Linked DNA regions of Macaca fascicularis. The protein of the gene in region 2 binds, or shares a complex with, the protein of the main gene of each other region. Links are inferred from orthologs where the notes say so. Each region holds a gene or a part of one and is shown on either strand. Other genes may lie near its edges.

Evidence for each region.
Region 1: the proteins of GNB1 (region 2) and CALCR are in contact, whole or in part, in a cryo-EM structure (PDB 8F0K), measured with the Homo sapiens proteins. The link is inferred for Macaca fascicularis from reciprocal best matches to the Homo sapiens genes GNB1 and CALCR. Residues at the interface, in NP_001269468.1 of Homo sapiens: Thr47, Arg52, Phe292, Ala309, Gly310, His311, Asp312, Trp339; in NP_001158210.1 of Homo sapiens: Arg174, Ser175, Arg404, Gln408.
Region 3: the proteins of GNB1 (region 2) and GPR21 are in contact, whole or in part, in a cryo-EM structure (PDB 8HJ1), measured with the Homo sapiens proteins. The link is inferred for Macaca fascicularis from reciprocal best matches to the Homo sapiens genes GNB1 and GPR21. Residues at the interface, in NP_001269468.1 of Homo sapiens: Gln44, Arg46, Thr50, Arg52, Ala309, Gly310, His311, Asp312, Asp333, Phe335, Lys337; in NP_005285.1 of Homo sapiens: Pro57, Leu58, His61, Arg313, Arg317, Thr324.

What each region holds. Positions count from the first base shown.
Region 1 is NC_088377.1:127,740,825-127,744,573, reverse strand, and holds the start of CALCR (calcitonin receptor), read right to left. Parts: upstream 2,685-3,749; 5' UTR 2,651-2,684; intron 2,466-2,650; 5' UTR 2,355-2,465; coding exon 2,249-2,354; intron 1-2,248. UniProt on the Homo sapiens protein: G protein-coupled receptor activated by ligand peptides amylin (IAPP), calcitonin (CT/CALCA) and calcitonin gene-related peptide type 1 (CGRP1/CALCA).
Region 2 is NC_088375.1:232,963,561-232,967,309, reverse strand, and holds the start of GNB1 (guanine nucleotide-binding protein G(I)/G(S)/G(T) subunit beta-1), read right to left. Parts: upstream 2,247-3,749; 5' UTR 2,067-2,246; intron 1,271-2,066; exon of another isoform or gene 1,162-1,270; intron 1-1,161. UniProt on the Homo sapiens protein: Guanine nucleotide-binding proteins (G proteins) are involved as a modulator or transducer in various transmembrane signaling systems.
Region 3 is NC_088389.1:21,037,084-21,040,832, forward strand, and holds the start of GPR21 (probable G-protein coupled receptor 21), read right to left. Parts: upstream 2,382-3,749; 5' UTR 2,308-2,381; intron 1,878-2,307; 5' UTR 1,482-1,877; coding exon 432-1,481; 3' UTR 1-431. UniProt on the Homo sapiens protein: Orphan receptor.

The sequences.
Region 1 (3,749 bases), on a different chromosome or scaffold from region 2:
TTACTAAAGCATTTTCTGGTTGGGCAGATCAACTTCAAACTCAATAGCTTGTTTTCTGGATAAAAAATGTTTTTCCAAGAAGCTGTTATGGTCTAAATATCTAACATCAAATATTAAAATATTTTTCTTCTAATTGTAAGATCAAGTTATACATATATATATATATATGTTTATACATACATGTTTCTTTTTTAAAAAGAAAAAACTATTTGACCAGCAATATAACAAACAGCATTTATTTTTATCAAGAGCCTCAAACATCAGTGAGTTCTACCAAGTCTGGTGGAAACCCTCTTGGTCAGAGGCTCTCAGTCCTGGTTGCGTACTACAATCACCTAAAGAAATACATCAAATTGCAGACCCTTTCCACAGATACTCTGATTTAATTGAATTGGGATAAGGTTAGGCATCCGTATTTTTTGAAAGTTCTCCTATTAACCCTAATTTGCTGCCCGAGTTGAGAATACTGGTTTAGATTATCATTGAAAACATTACCCGTCTCCTATTTCCATCTCACTTGGACTCTAATAAAAACCAACAATAGATATTATTTTCATTCATGTTAACATTGACAGAGTCTGAGAGGTTCATCAAGAACAGAATTGCCATGGCACAACTAAACTAATAGTTAGCTCCCTTTCTTTAACTGATTAGAGCAAATGCTCTCCATCCACCATCGATCATAACCTCCGGTTTCAAAATGAGAAACAGAAGCTGTATTTATATCAGCTATTTCTTTTTAACTTTGAGAATCATGAAACAAAACAACTCCAAGATTATTTATATGTTCTTATAAACTAGTTATAATGAAGATTACTTGTTTACTTATTGTGTTGATGTAGTCAGTGAATAAACTTAGAACATTTTATAATATGACCAGATATTAGTCTTGGGCTATAGTTCATAAAATAAGCTACAGGTTAGAGGCATTCAACCAGAACAAATCCCGGCTAATGGATGTTTTGAGCTATGTTGAAATATTGAGTAGAAATGAGTTCCCACTGAGAATATCAACTTAAACTGTAAAAGTTTTACAAATCTAATCACCTTAGTTTCTCTTATAATACTAGTGTATAACCAGCAATCTCAACCTTTTAAAGCTGAGTTCTTTTACTACTGAACTCATAGGCTAGCAATATGCTATTAGAAATTACACTTTATAAATTCCATAACACTAAAAGCATTCCTACTTCGTCCTTAATGGTAAGCCAACTGGTCAAAATACACAAAATATTTGCTTTCTATGATCTTTAATACAGACTTAAACTCGGACACTCTATAATTTAAAGATTAGCTTTAAGAACTACTTTGTAAAACTTTGACTTATTTTGAACATTTCACTTTCAATCACCAAATAATTTAAACAAATAGCCTTACACAGATAACTTGATTCTGGTTAACCACAGCCAGGAAATAGGGTCTCCTGAAGATCAGCAAGTGGAACACTGCCTTCTCTTCTTGCAAATATCACATAATATTAGGTTAAAGCTTTCATATAAAACTTTGCTTAGGTAGATTTGCTAAATAAAGTCGTTATGGTAGTTTACTAATCTCAATTGTATTGTTGATTTTTGGCTTGGACCTCAAGGACAATGAATGTTTTGAGAAAAGGAATTAATTTGTCACAGCTTTTCTTGATGTCTTTCACCCAGACTTCGGGAAGAGCATCATGAAAAATAGTACTCTTTTGGAAACTATGCACACAACATATTTTTCCTAATAGGTGTGAAGAATGGCTGCTATGCATAAATGATTGTTGGAAAATAATTCTCTGTAAAACATGACCTAACAAGCAACTCCATTCACTACTGTGCTCATTTCCAGTATCCAGAACAACCACGACACATCTTATAGATGCCGGTATTATCTGTTTGTCAGTTAATAAACACCCTTTGGGAAAATTCACACCTTTATCCCCCGTAGTTTTCCTACCCAGTAAGTTGGAGAATAAAACTTTTGAGGGAAAATTGATATTAACAACATAGTAAAAGTCACAAGAAATCAAAAGATTCTTCAATACGAAACCATAAGTTGTTGGCTCTTCCCAGGACACCTATTGTTCTTTTTTCTTTATTAAGGGTAAAGTAAAGCGTCTGAGTCCTAGCTGACCCTACATGAGAACCTCAAGCACCACAATCAAACCGCAGTTCTATAATTAAAAAGCAAGGTGCCTATCGCCCCTGCATTGTTAAACATCCCTTGGACACCCCAAATCCTTAAGTCCCGCTCATTTCCAGACCCTCCTTACCTGGAATTCTGTCACTGGGCGGCCGGGCGCAGCTCAATAGAAGCGAAGGGCGTTCGCAGGTGTGGCTCCAGGGATTCAGGAGTCCAAGCTTCAGCGTCCGTCTCATGGGCAGAAGATGTCAGCCGCAGGGTGAGGTGCGGACGTGCCCACCTCTCCAACCCGGGAAGGCTGCCAGTCGCGCGGCGCAGCCCACCCAGAGACTGGGGGGCTGGCTTTCCTAGTTTGACGTGAGAGTAAACTGCGTTAGTCTCTGTCCTCCCTCTCCGCCCCTCTCCTGGTTTTTTGACACTTTAAATCTGTCTTAGATGGTTCAGACCCAAGTCTAGGTTGTATTATCAGCTAAAAGACAACTGTTCCTTCCCCAGGCTTGCTTTCTCCCTTCCCAAAGTCCGGGAGGCTCACCTTCCCGGCGCCTTCCTGCGCTCGCCCAGCTGTGAAGCTGTGCGCAAACTTCTCCTGACTTAAGAGTCTCAATCCTCGCCTGCGCTCCCGCCCCACCCCCGCCCGCCTCCCGACAGGCGGCAGACTAGGTGGCAGCAGAATTGACGAGAGCCAGCCCCGCCACTCCCGGACCCCGCCGCCCCAGTCAGCCCCCTCCTGTCCCAGGAGAGGGAGGGGAGAGCTGGTGAGCTCCGTGCGCCTCGCGCCAGCCCCCGTCGCCCCAGCCCGCGAGTGGGGTTGCGCTCGCGGCTGCTGCCTCGCTCCAGTCGGGGCTGGAGCTCACTCTGCGAGTCCGGGAGACTAAAGCGCCGCGTAAACACAGGAAGCAGGCGAGGGACCCGAGTTAGACCTTGAGTAGGGAGGGAGAGGGGGGCGACAGCCTGGGCTGGGAGACAGCTTTCTGGGAGCCCTGTCCCCTCCCCGGAGGATGTGAGTTTCCACAAAAACCTTACCCCAGAGACAGTGTGACCCTGGCTTCTTCAGCCGCCACTCCGGGGATAGCACTGGGGAGCCTGTGGAGGAAGGGTCGGTAGTGGGCTAGGTAGTGAAAGTGGGGTGAGGGCGTGGGAAGACGGCTGGCTAAGAGCCGGGGTGCTAAAAGGAAAAAAGAGCTGAGAGGAAGGAGATGAGAAGAGACACCTTGGGGATCACGCAAACCCTGGGAGAGCGTCCGGAGTTGGGCGACTGTAGGTTGGGGGCACAACTTGGATTTGGAGAAAGAGTGCCCTCCGTGCAGGGGACTACTGGTGGGCACAGTGTTTTAGGGTGAATGAAAACAGAGAGGACGGCGAGGGAAGACGGGGATATGGGGTGCCTGACTTGGTGTCGGACACTGCGACTCCTCTTCTTTCCCCCTAAAACCCTCGATGTCAGCAGGAGTCCGGGACAATCCAATTCCAGGCGGGGCGCAGCGGAGGCTGGCAGGCGCGCTCTGGGAGGCAGGCAAGTTGATTCCAAGGACGAGTCACCCTCAACCTCTTTTAGCCCACAACTGGGTGGAGCAAGGCAGGAGTCAACACTTTTTTCCTAACTCTGTTTAGGCGGTGTTGGACTAAGAAAG
Region 2 (3,749 bases):
CCGGGAGGCGGAGGCTGCAGTGAGTGGAGATCATGCTACTGCACTCCAGCCTGGGTGACAGAGCGAGACTTCATCTCAAACAAAAAGTTACTTGATGCAATTAGCTGGGTATGGTGGAACGTGCCTGTAGTCCTACCTAGTTGGGAGGCTGAGGTGGGAAGATCGCTTGAGCCCAGGAGTTCAAGGCTGCAGTGAGCTATGATAGCACCACTGCACTCCAATCTGGGCAACACAGCAAGATCTTGTCTCTAAATAGTTACTGGAAGAACTGTAACATATCGCTAAGAACAATAATGGAGAGAGTAATAATTTGGGAAAACGCTTACTATATACTAAGTGAAAAACAATATAAATTTGCATATAGTTATTTTATTTGAGACTGAGTCTAGCTCTGTGGCCCAGGCTGGAGTGAAATGGCGCGATCTCAGCTCACTGCAACCTCCGCCTCCTGGGTTCAAGCGATTCTCCTACCTCAGCTTCCCAAGTAGCTGGGATTACAGGCATGCACCACCACACCTGCCTAATTTTTGTATTTTTAGTAGAGACAGGTTTTCGCCATGTTGGCCAGGCTGGTCTTGAACTCCTGACCTCAAGTGATCTGCCTGCCTCGGCCTCCCAAAGTGCTGGGATTACAGGCATGAGCCACCGCACCCAGTCGCAGGTAGTAATTTTAGCTGCTTTATTAGAATTAAAATAGGTCTGGGCGCGGTGGCTCATGCCTATAGTCCCAGCACTTTGGGAGGCTGAGGCTGGCAGATAGCTTGAGCCCAGGAGTTCAAGACCAGGGTAGGCAACAACATGGCGAAAACCTGGCCTCTACTAAAAATGCAAAAAATTAGCTGGCGTAGTGGCACACGCCTATAGTCCCAGCTACTTGGGAGGCTAAAGTGGGAGAACCCACTCGAGTCCGGGAAACTGAGGCTACAAGCGAGCCGTGACTGCGCCACTATGCTCCAGTCTGGGCAAATGGAGTGAGACCTTGCCTAAAAAAAAAAAAAACAAGAAAAGAAAAATATACTTATTTTAAAGAAAGACAGTTAAAAAGACTAACAGCATTTTTATTATAATTATTAGTCACGTTTTTCTACTAAACTTCCTAATGTTGACGCAGCTTCCTTTGAAAATTAAAAAATAAATGTAAATTTTAAAAGTCGTACTTACATTTTATTGCTTTTGCTTTTCTCTTCACTATCCTTAGTCCCCCAAACCTTCTAGAACACCCACCATCAGGTTTACCTGGCTTGGGCTCCTCTCCTCCAGTGCCAATGTCACGGCTAAGCTCTGGCTGTGCTGACTCCAAGAACTTGCCCGTCTAATCCACTAAGACAGGGTCTGCTGAGGTCTCATGTCTATCCTTCCCGATGACCCATATCTGCCATTGGCTTTTATTTAGAATTTCAGTTTTGGAAATCCTTTTCAGAGAGATTTAAATAACTTAAAAGCAAGTAGGTGAAGGAATCTGCCCCTACTTTAGAACAACATCTTTGTGAGTCAAGTGTTAGTTAGCATGATTTTTAAAGTCAGAATATTTCACATTTGCATTGCAATGTGCTCCGTGTAATGCCTCTACTTTCATGGCAATGCAGCAGCCCAGGCCTCTCATCCAGGCCCCTGAGAGTCTAGGAGCGGCACTTCAGCGGTGCCCGCAGGACCCCAAATTACACAGTCAGCAATAACGACATTCAGGCTGCAAGTATGCCAATGACAAAATAGGGTACAGATATTGAAAAATAATTTCAATTTCTGGTTCTGCGACATACAAAGAATAATGCTTTAAATTGTTTTTTACTCTGATCTGCTTAATTCAAAATAGGAATGGTGTTACCTACATGACAGGGCTAAAATGAAGATTAAATCAGACAACCAATCTGAAAGTGCTCTGTCAGCCTTACAGTGATTAAACTTCCGAAGTCCAAACTGGCCCCAGTGAGGCCCCAGTGTCTTACACAGGGGCAGGAAATTTGCTAATTTGACCAGCCACACAAGGATCACAGCTCACCTCCAAGATGAAGCAGTATTTTGAGAGAGAGGAGTCTGCATGAGGAATTTAAACCAATTTCACTCACTTTTCCATTTTTCTTTCATTCCCAAGTCCAGGTCAATCTCCAAAATTAAGACTGTGGCAATTCAAAGGGCAACGGAAAGTCCTCAGGCCCTGCTCCCTTTATGCACCGCTCCGAACAATACTGTGAAGAATAAGGGGAGCAGGGCACCACCACAACTGATAAAAGGACACGACCACTAACACAGCTGCAGAGCAGCGCATGTGCAGACCCTCCCTTCAACACGACAGGCACCATGGCGCCTCGGCACAGTGCTGAGCAGCATGAACCAGGCTGGCTGCTAGTCTGAGGGAGACAGATGACTAACAGGTAACCACGTGGAGCATACACAGGCACCAAACGGGTGAAGTGTGCCAGGGAGGGCAGGGAGGATGCTGCTTTGCATGGTTGTTAGACATGACCTTGCTAATAAGGGCCAAGAATTGAGCGGAAGGCAGATGGGTAAAAATAACACAACTGTTCTTGTTTGAGGTGCTATTTTTTGCAATGGTAACAATTTTTAAAATCATACCTTCAGGATTTTGCCTGTGCCTATAAAGTAATCTTACCAAAAAAGTGAATGTGACCAAAGCTCCAGAACCTGCAGATGGGAGCGTGTTCAATGACCCCACACGGAGGCAACAGAACCTGAAGACAGGGGAGCGTGTTCAATGACCCCACACGGAGGCAACGGAACCTGAAGACAGGGGAGCGTGTTCAATGACCCCACACGGAGGCAACGGTGCTACACAACGGCCTGGGAAACACTCCAGCACAGACAACCAGGCAGGTTGGTTAGTCTGTCTTTAACAAATAAACTTCAAGGGAAAAAGGAGACAAAGCAAGCAATGGAAGGAGGATTTCTGGACTAAGTTAAGAGACTCCCTAGGATCATCTCCTTCATGCCCCAGTCACAAGTGAGCTCACTCACCCACCAGACACTGGCAACCGGGGGAAGAGCAGGAACTACGGTGTGCGGTCACAAAGTCCTCAGAAGGCGATTCTCTGGGGAGGGGATCTAATAGCCAGGGGTGAGCCAGTGAGGCACAGCTATTAAGAGCTTACCTCCGACCCCTGGAACTCTGAAATCCCAGGAGGTGGTTACTGACACTCCCGAAGACTTATTATTATTATTATTATTATTTTTTTTTTTTTAGACGGAGTCTCGCTCTGTCGCCCAGGCTGGAGTGCAGTGGCGCGATCTCGGCTCACTGCAAGCTCCGCCTCCCGGGTTCACGCCATTCTCCTGCCTCAGCCTCCCGAGTAGCTGGGACTACAGGCGCCCACAACCGCGCCCGGCTAATTTTTTGTATTTTTAGTAGAGACGGGGTTTCACCGTGGTCTCGATCTCCTGACCTTGTGATCCGCCCGCCTCGGCCTCCCAAAGTGCTGGGATTACAGGCGTGAGCCACCGCGCCCGGCCGACTTATTATTTCTCATGCATCACAAAAAACATTTGGTCTCCCAATTTTGCTCTCCCTTTTCTTTTTTTTTTTTTTTTTTTTTTGAGATGGAGTCTGGCTCTGTCGCCCAGGCTGGAGTGCAGTGGCCGGATCTCGGCTCACTGCAAGCTCCGCCTCCCGGGTTTACGCCATTCTCCTGCCTCAGCCTCCCGAGTAGCTGGGACTACAGGCGCCCACCACCTCGCCCGACTAGTTTTTTTGTATTTTTTAGTAGAGACGGGGTTTCACCGTGTTCACCAGGATG
Region 3 (3,749 bases), on a different chromosome or scaffold from region 2:
ATCAATTGCACATGAAGCCTAAATAGCTGGAAATAACCCACAAAGTGACAACAAAATGATGACTTTTTAAAATGCTGACGCTTTTCACACTCAGGTTCAGTCATGCCAGCTGGAAAGAGGTGTTAGATATGGCTTTATTCATTCTAAATCTGAGAACTGTAGTCATTTCCAAGACATTTCAAAAATTGAAAGCAACAGCAATTTGTCTTCATGATCTTAAGTCTTCTAATTCAAAAGCACTTTTGAAAACCATTTCTACAAACTTAGAAGGTATCTGTACGAATAATTTGCATGCTATTGCTTAGAGTCAAAGTATTCTGTCTCAGATTTCCTAGTGAATGAGGAATACTTAGAGATAAAACACACACACACACACACACACACACACACACACACACACACACACAGGGGAACCCCGTAACTGAGCCACTTCAGATACGACATCCATTAAGAGGGCCTTTGCTTCTAACTGTGTAAGGGTCGTTGGCTGTAGTCTGACTTGCACAAGAAGTACACATAGCCCCTGAGAGGCGCTTTAGTCCTCTTTGGAATACACTGTTGGAGAGACTATAAATGACACAGTTGCAGAAACTGTTACTAATAGCAAGCCAGGTGGTCAAGAAGGATGCGAAGCGGTTGCTGTGGCCAGTGGAGCTTTCCAACAAGAAGTAGATGATATATGGCAACCAGAGGATGTAAAATACACTAGTGATTCGAAACAGGACCATGGCATAGCGCTTATCAGGACAGGCCTGCACTTCCCCAGTCTCCCCACTCTGGCTGCTGAAGCGGGCTTGCCTTTCGCTGATTTCTTTTGTGTGCTGTTGACAGATGCGGAAGATGTTGAAATAGGTGAAGCAGACAATAAGGGCTGCTGGGGCATATAACATCATCACGATGAACAGGGTGAAGTAGGAGTCAGTGTGCCAGGATTCCGCACACCACTGAAACACATCTCCATGATATCCAGGTTTGCCCCAGTGGAAAAAGGAAGGCAGGAAGACCAGGGTCGAGTATAGCCAAATCAGGAAAATACACAGGCGTAGTCTCCAGGGTGTAACCAGAGTATTATAGGTTAAAGGTTTAGTAATGGCAATGTATCTATCAATGCTGATACAAGCCAGAGAAGCCATGGAGACGCTCTTCAGAACTGATACTACGAAACCAAATATCTGGCAAGTCAAGGACTCCTCTACTGGAAGGGGGTGATGGAGGAGTGATAAAGAAGGGACCAGGCAGCTCACCCCAACAAAAAGGTCAGCATATGCCATAGTCTGGATAAAATAACTTGTAGTGTGATGGTTCAACAAAGGTGCACAGTGAAATACAAAAATCACAATGATGTTGCCAGAAATAATCAATACAGTTAGAAAGACAATAATCAATACTTCCAAAAGGCAAAAATTGACAGTTTCCAAATAGCCAAATGCCAAGAGGCAAAAAGGGTGGCTGCTCTGATTACCATCCAAGGTGGAGTTCATCTTGAGCTCAGGAGTGATCTGTCACTTCATGCTGCCGCTTGGCTGCTGCCAACAGTTCAAAGAAGCAGCTGCTGTCATTGCGGTCAGCTTTGCATGTGTGTAATAATGCCAGAGGAGCCTTAGTCCCCAAGCTCCTGATGCTGCTGCTCTGGTGCATTGCCTGCAGTGCAATTCCCCTTTAAATCCTTCCTGGAATAAGGAGAGCCAGCAGTAGTTGTCTGGCCAGTCCCAGACGTGGCCATAGCGCCAGGTTCACCATACACATAGCACCAGGGGAGCAACGTAAACTCTGGGGACAACGTCTTCAGGCCAAGTGAGGGTAGGGGGAAAGGGTAGAAGAGAAGGGAAGAAGATTAGGAGCTTCAGCAGGAGTTGTAATGAGTCTCCTCTGAACAGCTGATAGAAGAAAAGGAGAGAGCATTTTACATTTCACATCCAATGCCCTAATCAAAGAACCTGGCTAGCTCAGGCTGGCATCATCCCTCCCACTCCACCCCTACTAGCACCACTATTCATGGCTACCCTCAATAGCACCCCACATAACTGATCTGTACTGTATAGAGGAGCAGCAGCAACATCAAGCTTTCAAGATCAGCATAAAACAAAACCAATCACAGTCAGATTAATTTACCCCCATTTCCTTTCATTTGAGACTTGGGGGAAAAAGGGAATTTGCTTATAATATTTATGAAAACCTTTCACTACAATTACCACTAATAAAAATAGCCAAAATAATTTACTTTCTTCATTGATTCCAATATAATATTTTGCCTCTTTGAAAACATTTCAACAGAATTTGCTGTTTAGTTCAATTTCAGAATGTTACCTGTAATTCTGCATGCTGCAATCCAAACAAAAGCCACAATACATCCTTAACAGAAAGCCTTGCAAAGCAGGAATGTGCTTCAACTCGCGTACTGCAGAACTGAGACACGAAGGGAGGGGATAAAGGAGTAGGAGGGGAAACAGGGAGAAGAGGGGGCTTGGGAAAAAGAAGAAAGGGGGAGGGGAAAGAAAACGCCTGTATGTGCACACACTCCGGAATCTTTAGCAACTAATTGGAATTCATCGTCAGAGAGGTGCCCCCTGATTTCCAGATTGCACAGTGTGGGAATGGCTTGCTATGCCTGCAGTGCCTCATTTGAAAGCTGTTTCCTCGTCTGTCTGGAATCCCCCTTTTAGTAGATAAGCAGAATTCAGGCTGCTAGCAAGGAGAAGGGGCAGGAGCAGAACAGGGTGTCAGGAGTTAGACTGAAACACACTGCCAGAGTGGTAATTCCTATTTTCTCATGGCATTTTCCCAAAGAACAAAGAGCAATATTAAAGAAAGGAAGTATATTAACCTCCTTTAAGTGTATGGCATATGGCAACTGACAATCATAATTCAGCTGCACAAGAAGTTCTAGCTAGAAGGCTATTCACCATTAATTTTGTCTCTCATGATTCACTGAATATTGGCCAAGAAACTTTAAAATCACTTTTTCAAGAGAAAAGTAAAGTATTTCCCATTCTGAATACTACAGAAATAGCACAGAGAAATTACATTGTTCCCATATTTGACACTACCCTATAGTTTTGAGATACATTTCTTGCTTCTAATTTGCTGAGCAGTATACAAGAATACAAACAAAAGATAGAAAAGTAAATGTACCTTCTTCTACTCAGGCATGGATATTACAGGAGGTTTCATGGTACAAATAAGCCTTTGTATCTTAGAATATACAATCTTGTTTCTGCCTATTTAAAACAATGCAAACTGGGATTATATTGTGGTTTTCCTAGTAATGTCATAAATGATGACAATTTTCAGGTAACAGAGTTGGGTGCTATGAAAATGTGTAATTTTAGTATTTAGAAGGATTAATTGAAAGTATCCAGCAGAGTAAAAGACAATAAACAAATGCTATCATTTGAAAGCTTTCCAAGAGGTAGGCAACTGAGTAAAATGTGTGATCCAACTTTCATTTTTAATTCATTTTATACACATGCTTTCTTATTACAGACAAATGGCCACCCATAATCAGAATGCAATGAATTATATTTTAAATCTGAAGCAGCAGCAGTTGTCTGGCCAGTCCCAGACGCGGCCATAGCCCCAAAATAAAAAACCTATTTAACCATAATCCTGACATAATATCTGACAGGTCTTACTGTAATATCTGACAGGTCTTACTGGGAAACAGAGCAAAGTGTGTGGCACAGTAAAAAGACCAATAACATCGAAGGAACAATAATCAGGTTCAAATTCTTGCTCTAAAATAACTTACC